Linked DNA regions of Arabidopsis thaliana. The protein of the gene in region 2 interacts with the protein of the main gene of each other region in a pairwise test. Each region holds a gene or a part of one and is shown on either strand. Other genes may lie near its edges.

Evidence for each region.
Region 1: the proteins of AT2G16365 (region 2) and PHYD interact in a two-hybrid assay, tested with the Arabidopsis thaliana proteins (one study listed by BioGRID).
Region 3: the proteins of AT2G16365 (region 2) and PHYE interact in a two-hybrid assay, tested with the Arabidopsis thaliana proteins (one study listed by BioGRID).

The regions. Positions count from the first base shown.
Region 1 is NC_003075.7:9,197,092-9,202,207, forward strand, and holds the start of PHYD (phytochrome D), read right to left. Parts: upstream 2,750-5,116; 5' UTR 2,396-2,749; coding exon 220-2,395; intron 136-219; coding exon 1-135. Other genes in the region: AT4G16260 (Glycosyl hydrolase superfamily protein), read right to left, coding at 3,089-3,581, 3,700-4,183, 4,293-4,350. UniProt on the Arabidopsis thaliana protein: Regulatory photoreceptor which exists in two forms that are reversibly interconvertible by light: the Pr form that absorbs maximally in the red region of the spectrum and the Pfr form that absorbs maximally in the far-red region.
Region 2 is NC_003071.7:7,071,906-7,077,021, forward strand, and holds the start of AT2G16365 (F-box family protein), read left to right. Parts: upstream 1-2,456; 5' UTR 2,457-2,541; exon of another isoform or gene 2,542-2,697; intron 2,698-2,746; exon of another isoform or gene 2,747-2,989; 5' UTR 2,990-3,034; coding exon 3,035-3,751; intron 3,752-3,833; coding exon 3,834-4,480; coding exon of another isoform or gene 4,481-4,484; exon of another isoform or gene 4,485-4,744; intron 4,745-4,807; coding exon of another isoform or gene 4,808-4,924; intron 4,925-5,080; coding exon of another isoform or gene 5,081-5,116. Other genes in the region: AT2G16340 (uncharacterized protein), read left to right, coding at 1,229-1,273, 1,340-1,579. UniProt on the Arabidopsis thaliana protein: Together with PCHL, regulates growth and development adaptation to the ambient environment by controlling negatively phytochrome B (phyB) dark reversion, a temperature-dependent thermal relaxation process during which phyB reverts from the active to the inactive state.
Region 3 is NC_003075.7:10,044,115-10,049,230, reverse strand, and holds the start of PHYE (phytochrome E), read left to right. Parts: upstream 1-2,884; 5' UTR 2,885-3,282; coding exon 3,283-5,116. Other genes in the region: SSP4b (SCP1-like small phosphatase 4b), read left to right, coding at 179-371, 457-597, 681-1,175, 1,255-1,592, 1,762-1,906, 2,485-2,513. UniProt on the Arabidopsis thaliana protein: Regulatory photoreceptor which exists in two forms that are reversibly interconvertible by light: the Pr form that absorbs maximally in the red region of the spectrum and the Pfr form that absorbs maximally in the far-red region.

The DNA.
Region 1 (5,116 bases), on a different chromosome or scaffold from region 2:
CAACAAAGCAGACTCCAACGATGTTGTTTAAGTAGTCCTTGCTTGAACATGCGTTGACAACCACAAACATTGCTTTTCCTTGTAGCTCGGAACCAAAAGTTTTCAGCTTGACCTCCACATTCTTGCCTTCATCCCCTGCATAATTGAAAACGAAACACATTATCAGAATTTGTATTTTAGAGTGATGCACAGATTGAAAATCTAAATAATTGCATAAACCTTTGAGAGCACAAGAAAGAAGCCTATCAACTGTTTCTTTGTACTCTTTGTATATCAATTCGCGAACCAGCGACTTTCCCATAGCGTCTTCAACAGAAAGACCGGTCAGCTCTGCGATCTTGGCGTTCCACCCATTGATGCAACCGTCTATGTCCACAGCAAATATAGGAACCGTCGCAGTCTCAATGAGCCTAACCATCTCTCTTGCAACTGCACCTATCTCCTGCATCCCTTGCTGTACCATATCATCTCCATGTGGCTGAACCGCCCCAGCTGCAGCAGCTTTAGAGTCCATCGCTTCAGACTCTTTGAAAGAGTCTCTTAGAATAAGCTGGAGCGAGTGAATGGCGTCCATTTCAGCAGTTTCCCATGGCTGACATCGGCTCTTAACAACTTCGAGAAAAGTCTGGAACGAAGAACGCGGATTCATCCGCTGACCATCATCTTTGTCCTCAGGATGGTGCTTAGCCCCTCCCCATTTGATTTCTTTCTCAGTATGAGACCGAAACCAGAAAAGGAAGTCCCTTTTTGTGATACACGCGACTGCCATACCGCACACAGCATCTCCCAAAGCAGCTGCCCGAGGATAACCCGCATCGCCTAAACTATCTGTGCTTAACCCGGTAGAATCAGAATGGTTAGCAACCAACCACTCCACAATGTCATTAATCTGAGAATCAGTTGGAGTCACACCCAACGGATAATACTTCCCTTGGTAAAGAAATGCCGCACCATTACATTTTACTAAATCCATGATACTAGGCCTCTGCGTGACAATCCCCGCTGGTGAGTCACGTAGAAGCATATCACATAATAGTGTCTGCATTCTCAGAACGCGTTTTTCAGACACCTGCAAGGCTAACTGCAACTCCATGTTTAGCTGTAAGCCAAAGGCCTGCATAAGAAACTCACAAGCGTACCTCAAAGGAAAAGGTATGCAACGAGCTGATGTGTGATGGCAAACAACTAAACCCCAAAGCCTCATCGAGTTTCTTCCTCCAGTATTAACCCCATTACCATCTTCTTCGTTTCCATTTATTATAACTGCCATAGCTAACGACGCAATAGAGCCCATGTTAGTCATGTATTGAGCATGACAGCCATGAGGAGCTCGCAAAGTCGAACCCACCAAGCATATAAACTGCGTGAGCCTATCGTCTTGAACCACACGAACCGGTGACGCATAGCAATCTACTATCATCCTAACACGGTTTTGCTTGAACAAGAACCGAGATGCCTGAGGAATATCAGTAGCGGGATAATGCAGACCAATGTAAGGCTCTAAATCGTTCCGTTTACTCTCGGCTACGACTTCACCATGTTCATCTTCATGAAACTTGTACACCATAACGCGGTCGTAGCCAGTAAGATCTCTAACGCTTTCCACAACAGTGTCACATAGAAGCTTAATGTCGCCGCTAGGCAACGATTGTAAATGAGAAATCGCACGTACCGCAAGTTTCTGCGATTGGACTGCTCCGGCGATTGAAAGTGCCGGATCTTCGGTTCGAGCCGGCTCTAAATCGATCAAAATTCCAACATCAACCCTGTGGAGAATCGCGTAGAAAGGTTTACCAGTGTTGTTAGAGTGAATCCAAATAGGATTCAGAAGCGTGATCTCTCGAGCCACGAACGCGCGCTCGAGGAGAAGGTAGCTCGATGACTTGAAGAGAGATCGCAAATCCGTACCAATCGTTAAAACCTCTGATTTGTCCTCGATGCTTGGTACAGATTGAGACATGAGCCCTAGCATTTCCCGCGCATTTTCACTGTAACCGATGATTGTGAAAGTGGATTCTTCGACGGCGATCAAGCAGCCAAAAGGCTGGGTATAGCCACCGCGTTGGATCCGGGAGAGATAAGCTGTGATCTGCTGCTCTGGTACGGAGGAATCGTACGGCGCCGTTTTAAGAGACTGTGAGTAATCAAACGACTTACCTGACTCTCCGGATTGTTCGAAGACGGCGTGGAGTCTCGCGTCGACAGTGTACTGTTGAATAGCTTTGTTTGTGGACTCTGTTCCGCCACCGTGGTTTTGTGGCTGCTGATTCTGTGACCTTAGGGCTTTGTTTGCTGACGACTGAGCTTGTTCTGCAGCGCTGGTGTGACGACTTCGGCGATGGCCTGAGGAAGCTGCCTCTCCACCGCTGGTTTTGCTACCACCTCCGGAGACCATTTTTCTCAGTTAATGGTTTTGGAATTTCAAAGAATTAGTGCGAGAGACGAAGAAAATCTTCTTCAATCATTGGATTCGAAACCACACTTTCACAAATCTTCACTGTAAGAGCTCAAAAATGATACTCATAAGGATTTTTGGGAAGCTTGAATTATCACCGTCGCTAGCTTAACGGCGAAGTTTGTAAAATGATAAAACAGAAACCAATTTGAATTTTTCTTAAGGCTCTCAAAAACCAATTAAAATGAAGCAGAAGAGGTGGTGAACTCAAGGATTAAAGAAGACGATGACCTTGTTCTCTTTATGATTTGACTCCCTCGTCTATTAAAATTTCGTTAAAAGTTCCAAAAACTTGTGTAGGTATCAATTTAACCCACATTTTTAAACTTTCGTTGCCTTGTATGTTTTATGAAGGACCGAGATCACGTGGGTTGTGGATTATTCCGACTAGTGGGCATACGAGGGACGATATATGTGGGCATGTGGGCGTCTGTGTCCTCAAAGGTCTGGTCTGGTCTGGTGTATATCAAATAAAAATATTGCATGACTTTACCAAGTCTAACGTGGACCAAAACAAAGCCGAGTATTTAATTTAACTTGGACTAACAGGTTTTATTTGAAATTTGTCTTTATTTGGAACCTTTTATGGGATAATCTCCCAATTATTCACATAAATCTCAGCATATAAAATCATCACTCAACCGCCGTACCGTCTCTCGCGGCAGAGAATGTGATCGGAAATTTTGGTTGTTTATTAGGAAAAAACAAACCAAAATTCTTCTCGATCTCAGGACTCTTTTGATTCTCATCAAACATAGCGAACAAATACGTTTCCACTCCTCTTCCAGGTCTCTTCGGTGTTCCTCTGTTCTCTCTCACACGCGACGCAAGATTCGTGTAAAAAGCTCGCGCGTTATCGAAACTCGCGGCGTTTCCACCGTTAGAAGGCCATCCGCTCTCGGAAACAACCACTGGGAGAGATCCACCGCCTGAGCGTTCAACGGCAGAGTAAACAACGTCAAGTAAAGCGTCAAAGAGGTTTTGGTAGCCACGAGAGCCGTCCCATACGACGACGGAAGGAGAAGTGAAGAGAGCGTAAGAGAGAGATATGTCACGTGGATTGTCAACGTAGCTGAAGTAAGGATAGATGTTGGCTAGTAACGCTGAGTTCGTACTCGTAAGAAACCTAATTAGCCACATAGGAAGAAATTAAATAATCATTCCACAAGTAACCAGAAATGAAAAATATTGGGAAATAACTAAATCTAATGAATTTTGGTTATTTGGTTTGGTTGGAAAATTACCCGATGACGGGATCGATATACCATCTAACGTCACCACGAAACTCTCCGGAGGAAGGAGGGAAAGAGTTTCCAATCAAAGTCATATCAATGGCGGTAGAAACTTTAATACGATCTTGAAGATTTGCACCTCTTAGAGCATCGTAAACGTTACGCATGGCAGGGAGCACAACATCACCGCCGTTCGACGGAGATACTTCGTTACCTACGGCGATGTACTTGAAGCTAACGGCGGGGTAATAGTTGAGGACGTTGTTTTGGAGCCATGATCTAGCGGAAGAAGGGTTAGTGAGTGAACGAAGATCGGTGTTTGGAACGCCGATGATGACTTCGATACCCGTGTTTCTAAGAGCGTTTAAAGCGGCTTGGTTTGGATCGTAGAGTCTAACACGTCGGATGTTGTTTTGTCTAAAGAGAGCGATTGTGTCTGATTGAGAAGGAAGGTTGTTCCCCATCATTCCATAGCATACACCTACTGATTCTCCACCTAGTTTATCATATAACATAATTAAGGTTAATTATGATTAAGTTTATATATCTATAAAAATTGAAAATGAGAATAAATCATGTGAGATTAAAGAGAGAGAGAGAGAGACTTGTTGGGTTGAGGATGGTTGTGATGAATAGAGCAATAAGGAGGAATAACGTGGTCATATTTGAGATCTTACGTGTTTTAGCAATTGCTAGTTGCCTAATTGGGTTTGTTCTTAGCTCCTTATATACAAATTAACATTGATATGTATGTACTTACAATTTTTTTAGTAGATATATATAGATGCGTATAGATTGTATATAATGTAGAATGGAGTGGCTAATATCTTTGTTTATTAATCAAAGTCAATAAGTCATTAGTCGGGTCAAGTAATCAAGTACATAACGTTAGCTTGAGTGCAAATATGCGTTCAATTTATCAAATCTTATATGCAAAAGAGAATATCTTTTCAAAAAATGGGTAGAGAAATGTCACTTTCCAACTTGAGAAATTAGGACATTGCTTATTTTTGCCAGCATTGACAAATCAACCTTGCTATTTTTTTTGTTTTTTTTTTATCATACGAAATTTGATTTATTTGACTGCGTCTATGTAAATATTTGTTAATGTTTTAGAATGACGAGAAACATGTCTAATTTGGCATATTTGTGTTTTACGTGTAACAAAACTTGTGCAATTTAGATAAGCTCCTAAACAGTGTCATTGAATCAAGTATAATTCCACTCATGAATTGGTTACTGATTTTTTGACTTTATGAACTATGATGGACCAAGTTGGCTATTAGCTAACGTAGTTTTATCATATTTGCTTACAAAAGAAAAAACTTTATTTGAAGATATTGTCATCACTTAACAAGAGCAGCCGTATAATTCGATACGATGACGAAGTAAACACAGCATTATTAAAACAATTTGGTTTAGAAGATTA
Region 2 (5,116 bases):
ATCACATATGTATAAATAATACCAGGTTAATATAATATAGTATTATTTATACATAATGTAATACTCTAATAATCGATAAGTTTAATATCATGATTTGTTTTCCTTATTACTAAAGTATGATTGCTTATCTTGCCTAGTTGATAACTAATGTGATATAACATCAATATAATTATTCGTATATTTTTAAACATTAAATTAAGTTTAGAAATGTATTTCCTGATAAATTATTGTTTACCGAAATACTCTTAATACTTTAAACTTCTCTAACTCTATCATACTCAACATAAGTAAATGGAAAATCATGCTGGATAATAGGTTTAGATCGTGCTACAAAAGTATATTTTTAAACATTAAGTGAAAAAGAAGTTTAAATGAATTGGTTTTACTTTGCCAGATTAATCTGCTAACTTGCTGTCCGCAATAAGTCAATCACTTCAGTTTGCAATCCGTGATGGGCCAACCTGCTTGGCCTGCTATTTCGTGGACATAAATATTAATGTCTAAACCCACCCCACTACAGTACTATTTGGACTAAGCCCGTTTGACACCTTTACTAATTATAACCACTAGTGAGTAGTTATATAAGATTATCTTCAATAGTAGTTTCTTAGAATAGTTATAAGAGAAATAGGTATAAAATTTAATGTTTAATTCATATAATTGGTAAGAGATGACTCTTATATAAGAGTCTAAATACATCTTAAGAGCCAGACACGTGTTGTGATATAAGTGGGAGAATGAGAAATATTTGCAAAATTCTGTAATTATGTACTACTAATCGTTTTATGTATGTTTATGTCATGTATGTTTAAACTTTGATATCATGTATGTTTCAAATTTTATGAATTGCAATAATTATTAAAATTTTTAAAAATCAAATGTTTATATATTTTTTAAAAACCTCAACTTAAGAGCTTACGATTGGACATTGCCAAACATTTAAACTTTTATCCAAACTTTTAACTTCAAAACTTTCAAATCAATTATAAAAATATTGCTAAGAATCTTTGCTAAGAATTCACCATTATAGATTCTCTAACAAATCTTGGCATAATCATTATTATTAAAAAAAACTTTTTGTAGAGTTCTTGTTTTTTCCTTTATAATTTACTTTTCTTTCTCTTTTTCTTTTTTTTTGGCAGAATTTAACAATTTTTTAATAAAAATTTAAAAATATAGCACTATATATGTATCAGTTAACTAACATAAAAGATAAATTAAATGACCAATGGAGGAGGTGACGGCTCCGACGATGGTGGCTCCAACGATGGTGGTAAGTTCGGCAACAGTGTGAATCTAGTGAGGACATGCGGTGGATCCGGCGAGTGGTTCTCGCGAGGATGGTGGCTTGGAGGACGGCGATGGTGGTGAGGACACTGGTAGCTCCGGCGAGGGCAGTGGTTCCAATGAAGATGGTGGCTTGGAGTTGGAGGACTGCGGTAGTGGTGATGAAGATGACGGCGGTAGTGGTGGTTCCGCCGATAGCGAAACTGTGGTGGTGATGGTTGTTGTGGTGGTGGTTAATGGTGATAGTAGGGAGGATAAAATTGTCATATTATATATTATACATCAACTCTAATATAAACTTTATTGTATAGGTTAGTTTCCTCATCATTTGCTATTGCAAGTTATTTCTCTCTCTAAAGATTTGATGTAATTTAATGCTTACTTAGCCATTTTGCACGACGCAAATAAACTAATACCGCAAAATTCGTGATTACGCAAATAACATTATCTAAATGGCCAAAAATAACTCATCCCATCTCTTCTTTTTTTTTTTTTTTTGGTCTAAAACTCATTCAATCTCTTCTACACTTGCATTTTCTAATTACTGAACAATAAACTGCTTCATACAACATAATTTTAAATATGTTTCGTTTGAGATAAATTGTTCGACATTACTAAAGATTTTGGCTGATCAAAAAATTTATCAACCTTTACCACGATTCAATTGCCTAGTCATAGGCACGAAGACTCTTGTTTTCGTTTACAAGCATTTGAATGCTAAAAGTACATAGCCGTCTTTGGAGACATGATCTAATAAAAAAAGATCTACGTTGACGTATAGAAAACACATTGATTAAAGAAAGATATCTCTTAAACTTTATGGGCAAGAAGAAGATATTTTTATAACCTGATAGACACACATGGCAAAATTAAAAATATCTAGATATATGTACAGTTAATGTTCTTGATATTATTGTGCCCATTTGCATTAGACATGGCACAAAAATGAACACGTCATTTTTCAACTAAAATAACTTTTCAACTTATTAAAAAATTCGAAGATAACTATAATTCGTCGATGCCTATACGAAATACGAGGTTCTTTTTAACACCTTCTTTGGACAATAGATATTGAGATTTACATCTTCTGCTCTTTCCGACAAAAGCCCATCTCTTCTGTCTTATTTTCTTCTGAAGGTTCTGTTTTTTTTTTTTTTTTTTTTTTTTTTCTCATCCAAATAAGTACTTGAGAGAATTATAAGAAAATTCGTACTTCGTTTCTTTGGACAGTGTACCTCCACGTATTCGTCTCTGGTAATAATCTCCATCACAAATCTCTTTTTTTTTTCTTTTGTGTGACTCTTGTTTCTGGTGGTACAGTTTGCTCATCGATTGAATCGATTTGTATTTCTTCCACACAAGAAAAATGGATTTGTACTTGTTTCTGGATTTTATATATCTGGTGTAATTGTAAGTATAAATTTGTGGAATTAGCTTCTTTTTTTTTTTTTTTTTTTTGGAGAATTTACTGAAAAAGAATGTGATCCTAGTTTATCAAAAAAAGAATAAGAATGTGATCCTCCTCACATTTGTTTGATGAAACTTTTTGTGTTCTTTAGGTTTAATTCTGAGGTTGTGTGAAATTTGGTGAAGAGAATTTTGAGATCATAGTAATTATCCACTTGCTTGATGCTCATGAGCTCTAGTTTAGTATTGTGTTTGTTTTGAATTATGATTGAGATAAAGGATATTTACTTCTCAGGTGATTTAATCAAAGCCTCTGGAGAAGATCTGTAGGTACGTACAAATGTCTGAACATGTTATGGTTTTGGGTAAAGGTAACAAAGGAATCAGCAAGAATTCTTCAGTCAATCCATATGAATCAGCTTGGTTAGGTCGTTGGACTCAGTCAGGTAGTGAAGTGAAGTTTCATGATGGTGAGACCAATTGCTCTAAGCAGTTGATAAGACCTGAAGATGAGAATCATGGAGTCGAGGTCTTGCCGTTTCCTATGTTCAAGGTTTCTCAAAAGAGAGAGACTACTACTACTACTACTACTAAACCGTCTTTCCATGAAGATGTTGGTTCAAGCTCGAGAGCTATGGTTAATAGAATGCCCTGGATGTATCCGCAAGGAGAGAACTTCAGTTCTAGTAACCGTCTTGACTTCCCAATTCAAGAAAAGACTACTCAAAACTTGCTAGAGTTGATAAGACCGGTGAGGATTTACGCAACGGTTGATTCTGTTAACTTGCCTAAAGAAGATAGTCATCAGTTATTGAAGGGGTCTACAGTTTCCATGAAACTGAAAGGGAAGATTTTTGGTGGATATCTTGATCTGTTTCCTAATCAAGATCACTCCCACAATAGAGGAGGAGTAAGGCTGCAGTCTCTAGAAAGCTCAAAGGATACTCAAGAAGATGGACCGAGAAAAAATGAATCATCGGCAGAGACTAATACCTTAGAAATGGATAGACTTCAGACTATACATCTTTCCGGCTCCATTTCTTCGTCATCAACTAAGGTATTGTTCAATCGACATATCTACATATCTTTACTCAAAATGTTGAAAGTTGTGATTGTGAAAGATGTTGAAAATTCCGCAGGGAAAAGGAATAAAAGGCTACTCAGCCATTCCAAGGACCGAAATACCTGACATGAATGAAGAACCACCTCTTGTTCCGGATAGAGAGAATTCAGTAGATGGACATCAGGGAGAAACAAGCAACTCGGCTACTCAAAGTATGAATGTGGAACACTTTCTGTCCAGAGATTGCAAACGTGTGCGGTTGGAACCAGAAGTAGAAGCCAGCAGTAGATGGGTCAAGCGTCTGAAGACAAGCCCCTCAGATTCCAGTGAAACCAAGAGCATGATGAAGATGAAAGAAGCATCACTGGGAGAAAAAGAGAACAATAATCTATTCCTTGAGATCTTGAAGTCCGGAATCAACAATCTCCAACCGAGAAATCAAGAACCCGTCGTTTCACAGAGCAATGATCTGAGACAAGGAGGAGATGACATTACACTTCTGCATCCATGGATCCAGAGGTGGTGCAAGAAGAAAACTACATCAACAGATCAACCAACAGGGCAAGAAGCTAGCTTTGAGCCAGAGAGTCACAAGGAGTTCGAGAAGAAACAGTATCCGAGTATTGCAGCCATGGCATTGATGGGGAAGGCTCTGAGCGGTTTAAACCCATATGGTCTTAGAAAGACCAACTCTCTCATGGTTTGGAATGCAAGGGATTTGAGGTAGGAAAACAAAACCATCATCCTCATCTTCCCTTGTTTATCATTACAACGTAAAGTCAAGAACATCAAACAGAACTAGCTAGCAGGCTTGCTACGATCAAATATTTTGACAGGTTCTACCTTATATGTCAGTCTGACTATTCTTATAATAGTTTCAGTTTATGTATGAATACCTTGTTTGCATCATAAATATTCCCTTTTAATCGTTACCGCATCAGTATTTTGATTTGTTACTGGCCTTACAAAAATGATAGCATAATTCAAAGTGGTAAGTAAATCTGTTCTCTCGAAAATCTTGATTCAAGGGAAAAAGAGTAACATTTAACATTAAGTCAAGCAAGTAGCCCTAGTGTTAATCTGCTGACTTGAGTGAGTAGAAACCATCCTTATCGTGCCTTTCACCATCAAATCTCTTATCGCCTTTCTAGCAAGCGACCCATTGATCTACGACAGAAACCAATACAACATTTTACACATGATCAAATTCTTGAGCACAATAAAATTTCTCTTTCAATAACTCGATAATCTTGAACCTATCCCAACACATTATAAAGAGCTAATTCAGTGAAAAGAGTGGAGGTAGAGAGTTAGTTAGTTTACCCGAAGACGGTCAGAGAGAATCGAAGGAGTGATCAA
Region 3 (5,116 bases), on a different chromosome or scaffold from region 2:
TCGGTTGACTTGTGTTTGAGTTTGTGAAAATGATCAAAAATTCCTGTTACAGATCCGTATGTTTATCTTACTATATTCTGTAATTTCATCAACAAGCTGACTTTGTTTTGCAGTATCTGCTGCTGGTTTGATCTTGAGACCATTTCTTTTGCAGCTTGTTGTTGTATTTCTAGAGACTATGCCAATGCCATTTTTGAAAATGAAGAGCAAGATAAGCAAGGACTCGTTAAGAGAGAAAAGAGTTCTTGGTGTTTGTAAGAAACCTCATAAGGATGTTAAAAATTCATGCTTTGATCCCAAAATATCGGAGAGAATGGAACTTTTGGTCACTGCTACTCAGAATTGCAACAACAACGAGGAACAGAATATAGGTAAGGCTTGTTTCTTGAATTCTACAAATAGGTCGGTCATCTTTTTGTTTTAAATTTGTTCTGATGATGCTTTTGATTACTATAGGTTTGGATTCTTCTACTAGGGATGTTGTAACAAATGAACCCCAAGACCTGCTAGTTGAAGACAGTTCCAAAAATGCGTCGAATATGGATACAATATTTTCACCTGTTCTTGATGATGAACTGTATTCTGAAACTGACCGAGGTATATTCTCTTACTCTTTCATTTTTTTATTTAAGCTGTCTTTTTGATTGAGAATCGAGTAATCTAAGAATGGTTTTCCTTAGTATTTGTGGAAGGGAACAATGTGCAATGGGAAATGCCTAGGTGGGGAGCTGATGACTGCAGCAACAATCAGTTTTGCAACGATTCTGATTACTTTCTATCTGATGTGCTGATTGCAAGCTTGCCATTCTATGAGAGTGGAAATGTTGATTTTTTCACTGAGATAAGTCCCTTGCCTCATTGTATCTTTCCAGAGCCAAGTGTGTTACTAGATGCAGCTGAGCAGTACATGTTATTACCTTACTTAGAAGATAGATCAGCCAGCAGTGATGATGTTAAGTCTGATGAGGATAACAGGATTAATCGGTCAAGATCAAAAAACTTGGAAGCAGCAGAGAATCACACTGAAGCTGAACAAACTGAAGATTTTGATCCACAGATTTTCTTAAGAAATCAACCAGAATTAGCTGATGTGGTATTCAATTATTTCCCGGATATGCAGCAGCCTAGGGACTCTCCGAAAAGGAAGGCGGTAACCCTTGTTCTTGATTTGGATGGTATGATATGAACCACTTGGTTAAGTTTTGCCTCCATGGTACAACCACACTTACTAATCATCTTTAAATGACATTGCAGAAACTCTGGTCCATTCGACTCTGGAAGTCTGTAGAGATACAGACTTTTCCTTCAGAGTCACTTTCAATATGCAAGAGAACACTGTTTACGTGAAACAAAGACCATACCTTTATAGGTTCTTAGAGAGGGTGGTTGAACTTTTTCATGTTGTCATCTTCACGGCTAGTCACAGCATCTATGCGTCTCAGCTTCTAGATATATTGGATCCAGATGGGAAGTTTGTATCGCAACGTTTTTACCGGGATTCATGCATTCTTTCAGATGGTATTTATACCAAGGATTTAACCGTTTTGGGTCTTGATCTAGCAAAAGTGGCTATAGTTGACAACTGTCCACAGGTATTTTCTAAAGGATTCACTTCACTACCTTTGTTTCATTAATTTTTGCTTTTACCTTAGTCTCAGTGATAGACACCACAAGCAAATCGAATTTCAAAGAACGATAGTTACAGTGCAGAATTTGTAGTTTAGTTGAGTATTACATGGACCCTCATTGTTCTTGTTTCAGGTGTACAGATTGCAAATAAACAATGGGATCCCTATTAAAAGTTGGTATGATGATCCAACTGATGATGGTCTGATTACATTACTTCCCTTCTTAGAGACATTGGCTGATGCCAACGATGTTCGTCCTGTCATTGCCAAGAGATTCGGTAACAAGGAATAAGAAATCTCTTCCTTTTGTTTCCACTATATCTTGATTGCAGATTCTGGGTTTCTTTAACAGATTTAGTCATAGACTAGTTTAGTTCCTCAAGACTTCTTAGGTGCTATTTAATTAGTGAACCATAGAATAATGCTCGGTGATATTAGTACACAAGTAAAGCGTAACCCTTGTTTTAGCCAGGATAATAGATCATTGAAATCTTAAGTGTTCTAAATGTACAGTTGGTGAAGCTGAGATACTGAATGTATAAAAGTGAGTAACTATTGAGTGAAATATCAGTTTTGGAGGTTAACAACAGCCATTATCTCCTTGTGGTAAATTCAAACTGTTGGTTAGATCTTTGTACTACTGCATTGTCAGTAATATAAATGAAGAGAGGTTCAATCTGGAACCTTCTTTTTCGTGAATTTATCGAATTTTCTAGCTTCTGTGGTCTTTCATAAAGGAGGAATATCGTATATGGGCGCCCGGATCTGGTGGTTCTGTGGTATTATAATAAGCTATTTAATCTATAACTCTCAGTAAAAGTTTCATGATTCTGTTGGCATGGTCCTTATTGTGCAGATCATTCAACAAGAAGTTCTTTTGATTAGGCGTAAGGAAGTGACCTGACTATTGTTCTTCTCTGTGTTAACTTGACTCTTAAGGTTTTGTCTAAGGTCTTAAGCTCCCTGACAAACTTGCCAATATGTACATCTTTACAATGTTAACTTGTTTTCATTAACATTTGATAGTCATATATTCTTGTTACTAGTTAATAAACCTGTCAGAAGAATCATATTTTCTAACATTGGTTCTTATGAACCAAGAAAGTCATTGATTTCTTACATAACATCAGTCGTTTAGATGCTTTGGAGATTGCTTTTGGTAACTCTCGACTAAACATAGTTTCAAATTTGGCTCAAAAGAAACTTTGTTTTTTTTTCAGAAGTATGAGGACATTATCAAAGTTGAAAGTTTTGACCAAAATATGTTGAAATTTTGAAGGTCTATTAAATTTGAGAAAGACATTAGCCATTTCTTCAATAGATTCAGAGTAACAAAAAAATACTTATTCCATGGAACTTTTTTATTCACAAAAATAAAGCAATTTAAGAAAAGGGAAAAAAAATGAAAGTGAATCGGTGGTGGTCACCGAACAAGCTGTACGTGTGGGAGAGAATGCAAACAGAGTAGCAAAAAAAAAGCATTGAAGGAAGCAAAACAAAACATGAAAAGAAGAATCTTGAGGTAAAAACGAATCCCAAATATCAAAAAGGAAACTTTTTTTACTTCTTTCTTTCTCTTGCTGCAAATGATACAGAATCAGCTTCTTCTTCTTCTTCTTCTGGTCGAAACTCACTCCACACTTTCCCCTAAGCTATGGGATTCGAGAGTTCAAGCTCAGCTGCAAGCAACATGAAACCTCAACCTCAAAAATCCAACACTGCTCAATACTCTGTTGATGCTGCTCTCTTTGCTGATTTCGCTCAATCCATTTACACCGGCAAGTCTTTTAACTACTCCAAATCTGTTATTTCACCTCCCAATCACGTTCCTGATGAACACATCACAGCTTACTTGTCTAACATCCAAAGAGGCGGTCTAGTTCAGCCCTTTGGTTGTTTGATTGCTGTCGAAGAACCTAGTTTTAGGATACTTGGTCTTAGTGACAACTCTTCTGACTTTCTTGGTTTGTTGTCTCTTCCTTCCACCTCCCATTCTGGTGAGTTTGATAAAGTCAAGGGTTTGATTGGAATCGATGCAAGGACGCTTTTTACTCCTTCCTCTGGAGCTTCTTTGTCTAAAGCTGCTTCCTTTACTGAGATTTCCTTGTTGAATCCTGTTTTGGTCCATTCTAGGACGACCCAGAAGCCTTTTTATGCTATTCTTCACAGGATTGATGCAGGGATTGTCATGGATTTGGAGCCTGCTAAATCAGGTGATCCGGCTTTGACCCTTGCAGGCGCAGTTCAGTCTCAGAAGCTAGCCGTTAGGGCCATTTCTAGGCTGCAGTCACTTCCCGGAGGAGATATTGGTGCCTTGTGTGATACTGTTGTGGAAGATGTTCAGAGACTTACCGGTTATGACCGTGTTATGGTCTATCAGTTTCATGAAGATGATCATGGTGAAGTTGTTTCTGAGATTAGAAGGTCTGATTTGGAGCCTTATTTGGGTTTACATTATCCGGCAACAGATATTCCTCAGGCTGCTCGGTTCTTGTTCAAACAGAACCGTGTCCGAATGATTTGTGACTGCAATGCAACTCCGGTTAAGGTTGTTCAGAGTGAGGAACTCAAGAGACCACTTTGTTTAGTTAATTCTACTCTAAGAGCTCCTCATGGCTGCCATACGCAGTATATGGCGAATATGGGCTCTGTAGCTTCTCTTGCACTCGCAATTGTAGTAAAAGGCAAAGATTCGAGCAAGCTTTGGGGATTAGTTGTTGGTCATCATTGTTCTCCTAGATACGTTCCATTCCCGTTGCGGTATGCTTGTGAGTTTCTGATGCAAGCATTTGGGCTTCAGCTTCAAATGGAACTTCAGTTAGCATCACAGTTAGCCGAGAAGAAGGCTATGCGGACGCAGACCTTGTTGTGCGATATGCTTCTCCGTGATACTGTTTCCGCTATTGTTACACAATCTCCGGGTATTATGGACCTTGTGAAATGTGATGGAGCTGCGTTATATTACAAGGGGAAATGTTGGTTGGTTGGTGTTACTCCTAATGAGTCACAAGTTAAAGACTTGGTGAATTGGCTGGTGGAGAATCACGGTGATGATTCGACGGGTTTAACCACTGATAGTTTGGTGGATGCGGGATACCCTGGTGCCATCTCACTTGGAGATGCCGTTTGTGGTGTGGCTGCCGCAGGATTTTCTTCAAAAGATTACTTACTTTGGTTCAGGTCCAATACTGCAAGTGCAATCAAATGGGGAGGAGCTAAACATCATCCAAAGGATAAAGATGATGCCGGAAGAATGCATCCGAGGTCATCGTTTACAGCCTTTCTTGAAGTTGCGAAGAGCAGGAGCTTGCCGTGGGAAATCTCAGAAATTGATGCTATCCATTCCCTGAGACTTATAATGAGAGAGTCATTTACCAGCTCTAGGCCAGTTTTGTCTGGTAATGGCGTAGCAAGAGATGCTAATGAGCTTACTTCTTTTGTGTGTGAAATGGTTAGGGTGATTGAAACCGCAACTGCACCTATTTTTG